Linked DNA regions of Saccharomyces cerevisiae S288C. Changing the gene in region 2 together with the main gene of any one other region gives a genetic interaction. Each region holds a gene or a part of one and is shown on either strand. Other genes may lie near its edges.

Region 1 (6,331 bases), on a different chromosome or scaffold from region 2:
TTTTGGCAACCGTTGTAACGAGCGATACCATATCTAAATACTTGTAACAGATATGAAAATCCCATGACCATGACAGGTGTGAACAAGCTAATCACAAGGTCCTTGACGATTTTCGTCCATGATGAAAGATCCGGTAAAACACTATCTGCCTTCAAAATTGTATGCAAGTTGTAAATGATGTTGGTAACGGCACATGATATGCCAATATTCGCACCAACCTGCAACTTGATGACAATATCACACCAACCTTTACCATCCCATCTCGTGAGGAAATCGTCGTCACTCCATATTGCCGCATCTACAATACACGTTAAATTCATTGTAAGAAGCCATGTTATCAAAATGATTGCTGGAATATTCTTGGTATGTGAATGCCATGCTAAAGGGGGAGCTAATAGTATCACAGCTAGCAAACAAAGCCCTATTATTGCTGACTTGTATGACATGAAAATTTTGATAGTATTTTGCCTTTCCTACACAAATTTAATTGCCTCTAAAGTTAAAAAGCAATAAAATAGAATATGTGAATACTGCACAAAATGAATACTTGGGAATTCAGAAATTATTCTTACCTTAAGCATCCACTCATATACATATATATATATATATATGTCTTTTCAAAAGACTTCTGCCCAAATTGTGGAGAGAACTCTGCCTCTCCGTGATAACGGCCAAATGAAACGCATCCAATGATGCAATTATTGACAAAGTTTCAAAGTTTCCGCCATTATTCCTTCATTTACACATTGATAGTCGAGAAGTTTCCTAATTAGTGTCACAATGACAGAGAAAATTGTACCAGCGCTTCTAACGAAAATTAGCACCCATACCCAGAGTTCATAAATCTGGCAATGTGGTACAATAATATAGGATTGGTAACATTTCAATTGTAAAATGTTTAACGTTTAGAGAAAAGGGGAGCCAGAACGCTTCTGGTGGTGTAAATACGGAGAAGTCACCTTAAATAGTTTTGTTCTGATAATTGCATTTTTTTGGAAAGATTTGGCTGCTTAAAAGATTCAAGCAATCAAGAGAAACATTACAAGGCCTGCTTGGCCGGTCTACTAGGCTGAAATAATAAGTTTCTGATTATGGTTATCACGGTAAATGATTACGAAAGGGTAAAGCAACGAATGGTTGTTTTATGGTAAGAATACTTTGGCGAATCAACAAATTGAAGTTGCGCAATGTGCGATTCGCTTATGTATCAAAAAAAACTAAAAAATGAATAGAGAAAATCATATATATAAAAGAAAAAAATATCGTACACCTCTTAGGTAACTTGGAATATATTAAACATGTAAAGAAGGAGAAAACATTAACCTGCATTACAATAATGAACAAGAGATGAAAAAATCCGTAAAGCTTCTGAATCGCGAAGCTCACTATCTATTCCATTATCATCATATAACATCATTGCACTCTTTATACTATTTTCAACAAAATTAACGCAGTTTTCCAAACTAGTACTTAGCTTGCCAATCTTGCCACAGGAAAAGATTTTTCTGGTCTTCTGTTTCAACACGTACTTCCTTTTTCCGACAAAATTCTCATCATAGATATTCTGGTTGCTGTTATTGTTGTTATTGCCAGTAAACTCTCTTTTCAATGCGACATCCCTAATGTCCCTTGAACGTAACGATACTAATAGACTTCTTGTGTAATCCGCCTTTAACAGGTCAATCTTCATAGAATTTGTTATTCTGCTCTCTGATTCTTGACCAGCAGGACATGCTTGCAACTGGAAAAAATTGTTAAAATGGGTTAAATACATTGTATATTTCGGCAATAGTTCCAGAGGTTTATTCATCAAGCCATCATCAATATCAGAATCAGTAGTCAAAATATCCGCATAAGAAGAGTTACCTGGAAAAATTTCGTAAGTGGAATTAAGGTCAGCCAAAGAGGGCTGACATATTCTTTCAAAAGCCTCATCCAAAAGATCATCCTGAGAGATCCTTTGGCAATCTCTTTTCAACTCAACGTTCTTTAGTGGAAATTTATATGATATATTCTTAACCAATGGGGGTGCGTGAGACACATCTCCAACATTAGGAGAGCCAGGTGTGCCCATCCAAGGATACTCATCATATTCGCTGATAGACGGTGATTGTTGCGGAGTGGTTAGTGATAACCTGGAGGTTGCTTGCTGCAAAGAAGACGAACTTGAAGTCCTTTGCATATTTCCAGCAGTTGTTTGCAGCCTCTCCCACGACTCGTTGTGTTTTAAAGAAGGGCTTGGTTGAAAGAACTGAGAAATTGTTGGCCTTTTGTTGAACCAAGAACCGTACGAACCAGGTTGGCTTGAGATAGAAGACGATAGATAATGCAATGAACTACTCCCACTTTTGAAGGAAGATGGCTGAATAACTTCCGCTAAAGACTCACTAGAAGACACAGATACTGAAGTGTTCGAGTTCCTCCGATTGGGTATTTGCCATCCTTTCCTCAAAGAATGGAAATTGGGTGATCCAATGCTGTTAGAGCTCACATTACTGTTGTTGTAATTATGATTGCTATTATTTTCTGTGCGACTCAAAAGGTTGTCTGTTGAAGTCAGTGTGCTCAATTCCGTCTCAGGCTTATCGACAAAATTATTGTTAGACTTATTTCTTGATACAGCGGACGAATCCGATCTTATGTTTTCCCGCCGTATCGTTATTTGTCCCTTGTACTTTGGCTCCAATAAAGCCGATAAGATGAACAGTAACTTGTTAGCAACCACCATGTTTCCTGACAGGATTACGATCTTGGATGTCTTTAGTTCTCTTATAGTGTGCCTGTAATCAGATATAATCATTGCCATTAGGAGAGGAAGGAAGCCTAGTTTCGGTCCATCTTTGATTTCAATCCAATTAAATATACTTTTGAACCAAACGTGAACGAATTCTTTAAATGTCTCAGGGTAAAGGAAAAGCCTAGGAATCTCAGACATAGAACGTAAACCTGGTATGACTCTTTTTTGTAAAGTTTGCACCATTATTTCAATTTCCTTGGGATAATGCGTCCTGATGTCAATATTTGACAATTTTATGACTGAATTATTGCTGTAATTGCCAGTATTTTCTTGCATAATACGGTTTTTAGTCAAGAAACCAATGAGCATTTTTTGAGTCTGGGTCAACCATGATGAAATGGAAGACCACGACTCTGCAACTACGGGCAACAATATCCTCGGTATGCATAAGCTAATTGCGATGCGGTTGTATTGGTGTGTGTAATAGAAAATTCTAGTTATGAGTACCAAATCCGAGTTAGGAATCGTCCTTATCTTGTCGCACTGCGTCAAATCGGAAGATCTTACGGGAGAACCAAATATATATTCCTTCAATTCACTCGGCCGTATCTGCTCCATCGAATTTGAAATCTTTGACGTAGTGTAATCGAAGATATCACGGTAGTTGTTCCTACACGCCATTTGACCCGCTTCCTCAATGATCAAAATCCTGAATGCATACGTTTTTTCGTTAATAGACGTGATTTTATCAGTACCAAGACCTCCGTTGTTTTGTAACGTATCGATAGGACGACTATAAGGAATATCCCTCGAGCCGAAAAGCTTCAGTTTTAAGTCATCCGATATATGATCTAAAATGGGCGGAGAAGTCGTTGATAGCATTTCCGAAGGCTTTTCCACATTGACTGCAGTATCTAAAAGAGCTCCAGCAGCGGTCTTAGTAGTTCCTGTGCTTGCCGCTTTGCAGTATACAGGGACATTGGGAACTACGGAGGAAAAATCGGAATGCTCTGAGCTCTTCTCAAAACCAGACGAACTCGTCTTATTTCTCAGTAAATTACCCAACATATAAACTCTCCCTCTTCACCTTCTCTACAAGGCCACACACAAGACAGTTTTAACAGGCAAATGGTACTGGAGGCTCTCACCAATGGGGTTTAAGACGCTCCAAACACACGCTCTCCTTTTTTTCTTTATATATCGGTAGCAACGAAAGCTAGTCGCAGAACGTTACACACTAAAGCAGATCAATCAATCAATCCTGAGAACCTGCTTCGTTCAAACCATCCACTAGAAGAAACACGCACGTGTACCCAAAAATAGAGACAAACAAACAGACAAAAATAACAATGATTCCTACCGACTAAAGTAAAACAACACTCACGTAATAAAAAATCCTAGATACAACTCACTTGTATTCCTCTCTTCTTTGACCATCACTAAAGCTTCTCTCTTACTATATTCCTCAAATAAAAAAAAGTTGCAATGATTACTTACCAATGTGCCATAAACTCCGTGCACCACACTAGCCTTCGATTTGACACATCTCTAAGCTGAAACTGAGAATACTGTTGTAAAACAGGTATTGGCTGCTTCATAGTACACCCAATTGCCCACAACCCAAGTTAATCATAAGCTCTTGTTGTCGATGAATTGCTCAAAATGTGGCCATTCTTTCAATTTTGCACCTCTAAAACTGCTCCGTGGGTTGTGACAACAACCTTAAGGGTAATGGACTTTTTTAGAAAGACAAATGAGATGATTTCACCTACTGGTATATCATTTATTTATACACGACCGTTTTGACATTTCAGAGTTGCACGTTGGTATATCCTAATATTCTCACAAGCATCACAGTGAAGAAACGCAAGAAAATGGAAAAAATTCCCAGGTGGTTGTTGTTTTCTCTTATATCGTCGGTGCTGTGCATACTTGGGGCCCTGTGTGTGCCGTTGTTATCGGTTGCCTTCGATAGCAAGCGCAATAGCCAATCTAAGTTGGTCAACTATGGTCTTTCTCTAAGTGCCGGATCTATGATCACTACTTCACTATACATGCTATTGCCTCGGATCGAAAAATCAAACCGGTTCAAGGTTTTTCCTGGATTGCTTTTGGGTATTTGCCTCAGTTTTTTCTTAAACTACCTAGTCCACGCTTTCGCCAGCGAATCGTTGGTACACTGTGCTGATAGCGGTGACCATGCTACAGGTTCACATATACACTCCAAATCACATTCGCATTCGCACTCACACTCACATGCGGATTCGCATTCGAATTTTAGCAACGATCATGATTTAGAAAATGCTCCCTCTGAGCATGGTTATGCAACATCTTCTTCCAGTGTTTCTGAAAATGACCCGTTGATTACAAAGGATAGCGATAGACCCCAAATGAAAAAGAAAATGTCCCTAATTGACTTATTAACCAGAAGGAAATCAGAAGGCGAGTGTTGTGACCTAAACAAGTGCACTCCGCTCTTGCAATCAGAGCAGCCAGAATATATTGCATGTGTCCCACCAGTGATAAAGTCTTCTCAAAGTGAAAGAAACGTGCCACATGGATGCGAGGGATCAGAAGATAATGGACAATCCGATGACAAGGATCATCGTGGCCTTGTATGCGTGGAAAATAATATCGGTTACGATCTTGAAAACCTATCGTTGTACCGTAAGAATTTTCTTTCGAGCCGCCATCATCATTCCTCTGAATCGCCCGAAAATTATGGTTCCAACCAGTTGTCGCACTCTTTTTCGTCACCTTTGGGAAATGATGTAACTGAGAATCCGGCCGCATTGGCAGACACACAATACCATCCCGAAAATGGTTCATTATACCCCCACCATCATCACTTAGAGACCCCTTTTTCCAAATTACTGTCTATTGGTATGCAAACTTGTCTAGTCCTTGCATTACACAAATTTCCCGAAGGGTTTATTATTTTTTACACTAACAGGTCAGATTCGTCAAAGTCCTTGGGATTTTCCATTTTTTTAAGTTTGACGATCCATAATTTTGTCGAAGGATTTGCAATGACGTTACCATTCTACACTGTTTTCGAATCTAAATGGGTTGCCATTTTGATTACTGCCGTTCTCGGTGGTGGATCTCAACCATTAGGTGCATTGATAGGTTATTTCATCTTTAAAGGTAGTACTCCAAGGGATCACGAACCCAACATGGATTTTTTACTGAGCGTTACTGCAGGGTTCCTATTAGTAATTGGTTTACAAATGTTCCAAACTGGTATCGGATTTAGCGATGGACATCATCATCATCAAGGAGAAGGTGATGAAGAAATGAAACAGTCCCATAGCTCAGGCACAACTTGCTTGAAATGGTGCTGCACTGGCGTTTTGCTAATTCTAGCGAGTGCCCTTTTCACTTGATAAATTAAAACTACGTATATTCTTTCTATATAAGTCTTTTCCCATTAAATAACGGTGTATAATCACGATCATATATCATATATCATATCTACGATCATCGGCAAGATCAAATTCTTGTTCTGCTGTATGGTGCTCATCACCATAATCGGTTATCACGTTTTCCTCATTTTCCTCAAAGGGATTTTCTGTACTACTTTTAGGATGCACC
Region 2 (3,217 bases):
TCGGATTGTGTTCCACTTGCTTTCGATATTTTAAACTTATTAGTGACGCATTCAGAGTCTAATTCGTTAGAAAAACTTCACGAAGAATCCATTGAACGTCTAACCAAAAGAGGTTTATCGATTGTGACTTCTTCTGGTATATTTGCGAAGAACTCCGACATGATGATACCTTTAGATGTAAAACCTGAAGATATCTATGAACGTAAGAGAATAATGACAATGATTTTATCAAGGATGTCATGTTCTGCTTAGAGGTGTTACATAAACTAATGAAAGAAATATCAATATCTATCTGTAAGCATGAATGTACATATCTCATGTTAGGGTTTTCTTATCGCTAATTTTTCGCAATTTGTTACGTGGGTTGCTTTTATACAGCTACAATTTTTATATATTCTATCGTGTAATGAATGGCTCAGTAAATTCAAGCGCCACATAGACTAATGTACATACCAATGCATTTTAATTGTAAGAATAAAAGGGGCCATTCATCTACCGTCTTAGTTGAAAGTGTTTCTGTGAATTTTTTCAAATTCCGTTTTTTCCTTTTTATATAATAGCATGGTGGCACGAGCATCTTCGACTGAAGAATGCTCACCTTCTTGAATGGAAATTTTTAAAACCTCCCTGGTTAATTTCTTTAAGCTGGGTGTTTTACCCTTAGCATACAACTTCCTGAATGGGAGGTGTCTTGAAGTGTCCCTGAGTAGTGACTTTGGGTGGGATAACATCAATGCTTCGAGATCATGCTTTAAAGCGTGCCCTACAAGAATTCTACCTTCCAGAATATCCGCAGTCTTTTTTTGAGCTTCTTTGAATGTAATGGCATTTTTCATATGCTCTGGTTTAATACCACTAACCCAAGTTCTCCATTCTACAACTTTCTCTCTTGGCTTAACAAATTCATCGAGGACGACATGTCCAAAATAATTTACGATTGATATTCTAGCTAACGCAGACTCTTTACCCTCGGGACCAACGCCTACAAATTCACAATCCATGGCGATGTATTTCCCAATTTCTTTACTCTTATTACTATTAATACGAGTATCTTCCGAAATACCCACTTTTACTGGCTCTTTAATAGTAGTACTAGTATTTGCTTTATTTGGGTTGAATTCAAACACTTTTCCCTCGAGCTTGTCTTTCTCATGCTTACTAATCTCCTTGTTCATGTTATATACCATGTCCATAATTTTACTGCCGTTTTTGCGCTTTCGAGGGGCATATTGGGTTGTACTACTGACATTTACTGTTTTGCTAACTTTCTTAACGTTTCTGATTTTCCTATTTGATTGCTTATTCTTTCCATTGGAGGTAGGATTGCTTTCGGAGGCTAATAGTGCCTGCCAGTTTGAAGAGAGAGCCATTAAAACTGTACGCTATCTACTTTATTAAATCTGTAAACGTCTATGAAGCCTCTAGAACCAGGCTTTAAATGGATTGTGGTTGCGATGAGGTTAGTTTAACTTTTGAAATTTTTCTTTTTTTTAGCCGACCTTACATATCAGCCCGCGTCAAAAAATATACGGTATAATAATTCTCAATAGATACAGGCTACTGAACAGGAAAACTAAATAAAACAGTGTTTGTAAAACCCCCACCACACCATAATAAGACGATAATGGACACGGTGACGGTATTAAATGAACTGCGGGCTCAGTTTCTACGAGTGTGTCCGGAGAAAGATCAAATGAAAAGAATAATAAAACCGTACATACCCGTAGATGAATTCAACACAGAGCAGTGCTTAGATTCTTCTATCCGTGAATTATATATGAACTCAGACGGCGTAAGCTTGTTACCTGAACTAGAGTCTCCACCGGTATCTAAGGATTTTATGGAAAACTATGCTTCATTAGGGAAAATGAGGATAATGAGGGAGAATGAAGGCCAAAAAGGAAAGGCTAACCAGAATTTAATAGGAGCAGAGAAGACTGAAAGAGACGAGGAAGAAACACGAAATTTGCAAGATAAAAGTGCAAAAAATACTCTGATAGTTGAAGAAAATGGAACACTTCGTTATAATCCACTTAATTCATCTGCGTCGAACTCTCTTTTAAATGATGACGACCATACCAGTGGAAAACATCACAAAACTTCCTCAAAGGAAGACTCATATTTAAATAGTTCGATGGAAATGCAGAAGAAATCTAGTAAGAGATCGTCGCTTCCTTTCGTGAGGATATTCAAAAGTCGAAGGGACCACTCAAATACTTCTGGAAATAAAAATGTCATGAATACAACTAATACAAGAGCAAAATCATCTACTTTGCATCCACCTGGTGCTCGCCATAATAAGAAAGGCAGTAAATTCGATATGAACTTCGATTTCGATGAAAACTTAGAAGAAGAAGATGATGACGACGACGATGACGAAGAAGGTGACGATATACACTCTCAATTTTTTCAGTTAGATGATGATTTTGATGCTAAGGGTTCTGGAGCAAGTCCAGCCCACAAAGGCATCAACGGCATGTCCAACAATAAAAACAACACCTACACAAATAACAGAAACAGCATCAGCATTCTTGATGATCGAGAGAGTTCAAATGGCAATATAGGAAGTGCTTCAAGGTTAAAATCTCATTTCCCCACAAGTCAAAAGGGGAAAATTTTTTTAACTGACAATAAAAATGATGGACAAAAATCTGATTCACTGAATGCCAATAAAGGTATACATGGAGATGGAAGCAGCGCCAGCGGTAACGGATCGGTGAGTAGGGACGGTTTGACGGAAACGGAAAGCAACAATATTTCCGATATGGAATCTTATATCAATGAAAAAGATTTAGATGATTTGAATTTTGATACAGTGACCTCAAACATAAACAAAACAGTATCTGATTTGGGAGGACATGAATCTACAAATGATGGAACGGCGGTCATGAACAGGGATTCAAAAGACAGCCGCAGTAATAGCAATGAATTCAATGCACAAAATCGTGACCGAATCACTCCTGGCTCATCATATGGGAAGTCCCTTTTAGGATCTGAATATTCCGAAGAACGTTATTCTAATAACGACTCGTCAACCATGGAGAGCGGTGAAATGTCTCTTGATTCAGACATGCAAACTAATACTATACCCTCTCATTCCATACCAATGTCTATGCAAAAATATGGCATCTATCATGGCGATGATGACTCTACCTTAAACAATGTCTTCGATAAAGCCGTACTGACTATGAATTCATCGCGACACCCAAAAGAAAGG

The links. A genetic interaction does not mean that the proteins touch.
Region 1: mutations in REX4 (region 2) and LST4 together harm fitness more than expected from each alone (negative genetic interaction), as found in Saccharomyces cerevisiae (2 studies listed by BioGRID).

Annotation. Positions count from the first base shown.
Region 1 is NC_001143.9:114,182-120,512, forward strand, and holds LST4 (Lst4p), read right to left. Parts: upstream 3,806-6,331; coding exon 1,319-3,805; downstream 1-1,318. Other genes in the region: STE3 (Ste3p), read right to left, coding at 1-446; Zn(2+) transporter ZRT3, read left to right, coding at 4,612-6,123; TPO5 (Tpo5p), read right to left, coding at 6,199-6,331. UniProt on the Saccharomyces cerevisiae protein: Involved in extracellular amino acid uptake. Required for the trafficking of the GAP1 nitrogen-regulated general amino acid permease from the Golgi to the plasma membrane.
Region 2 is NC_001147.6:180,058-183,274, forward strand, and holds REX4 (putative 3'-5' exonuclease), read right to left. Parts: upstream 1,371-3,217; coding exon 501-1,370; downstream 1-500. Other genes in the region: Ras GTPase activating protein IRA2, read left to right, coding at 1-252; AVO1 (Avo1p), read left to right, coding at 1,625-3,217. UniProt on the Saccharomyces cerevisiae protein: Exoribonuclease involved in ribosome biosynthesis. Involved in the processing of ITS1, the internal transcribed spacer localized between the 18S and 5.8S rRNAs.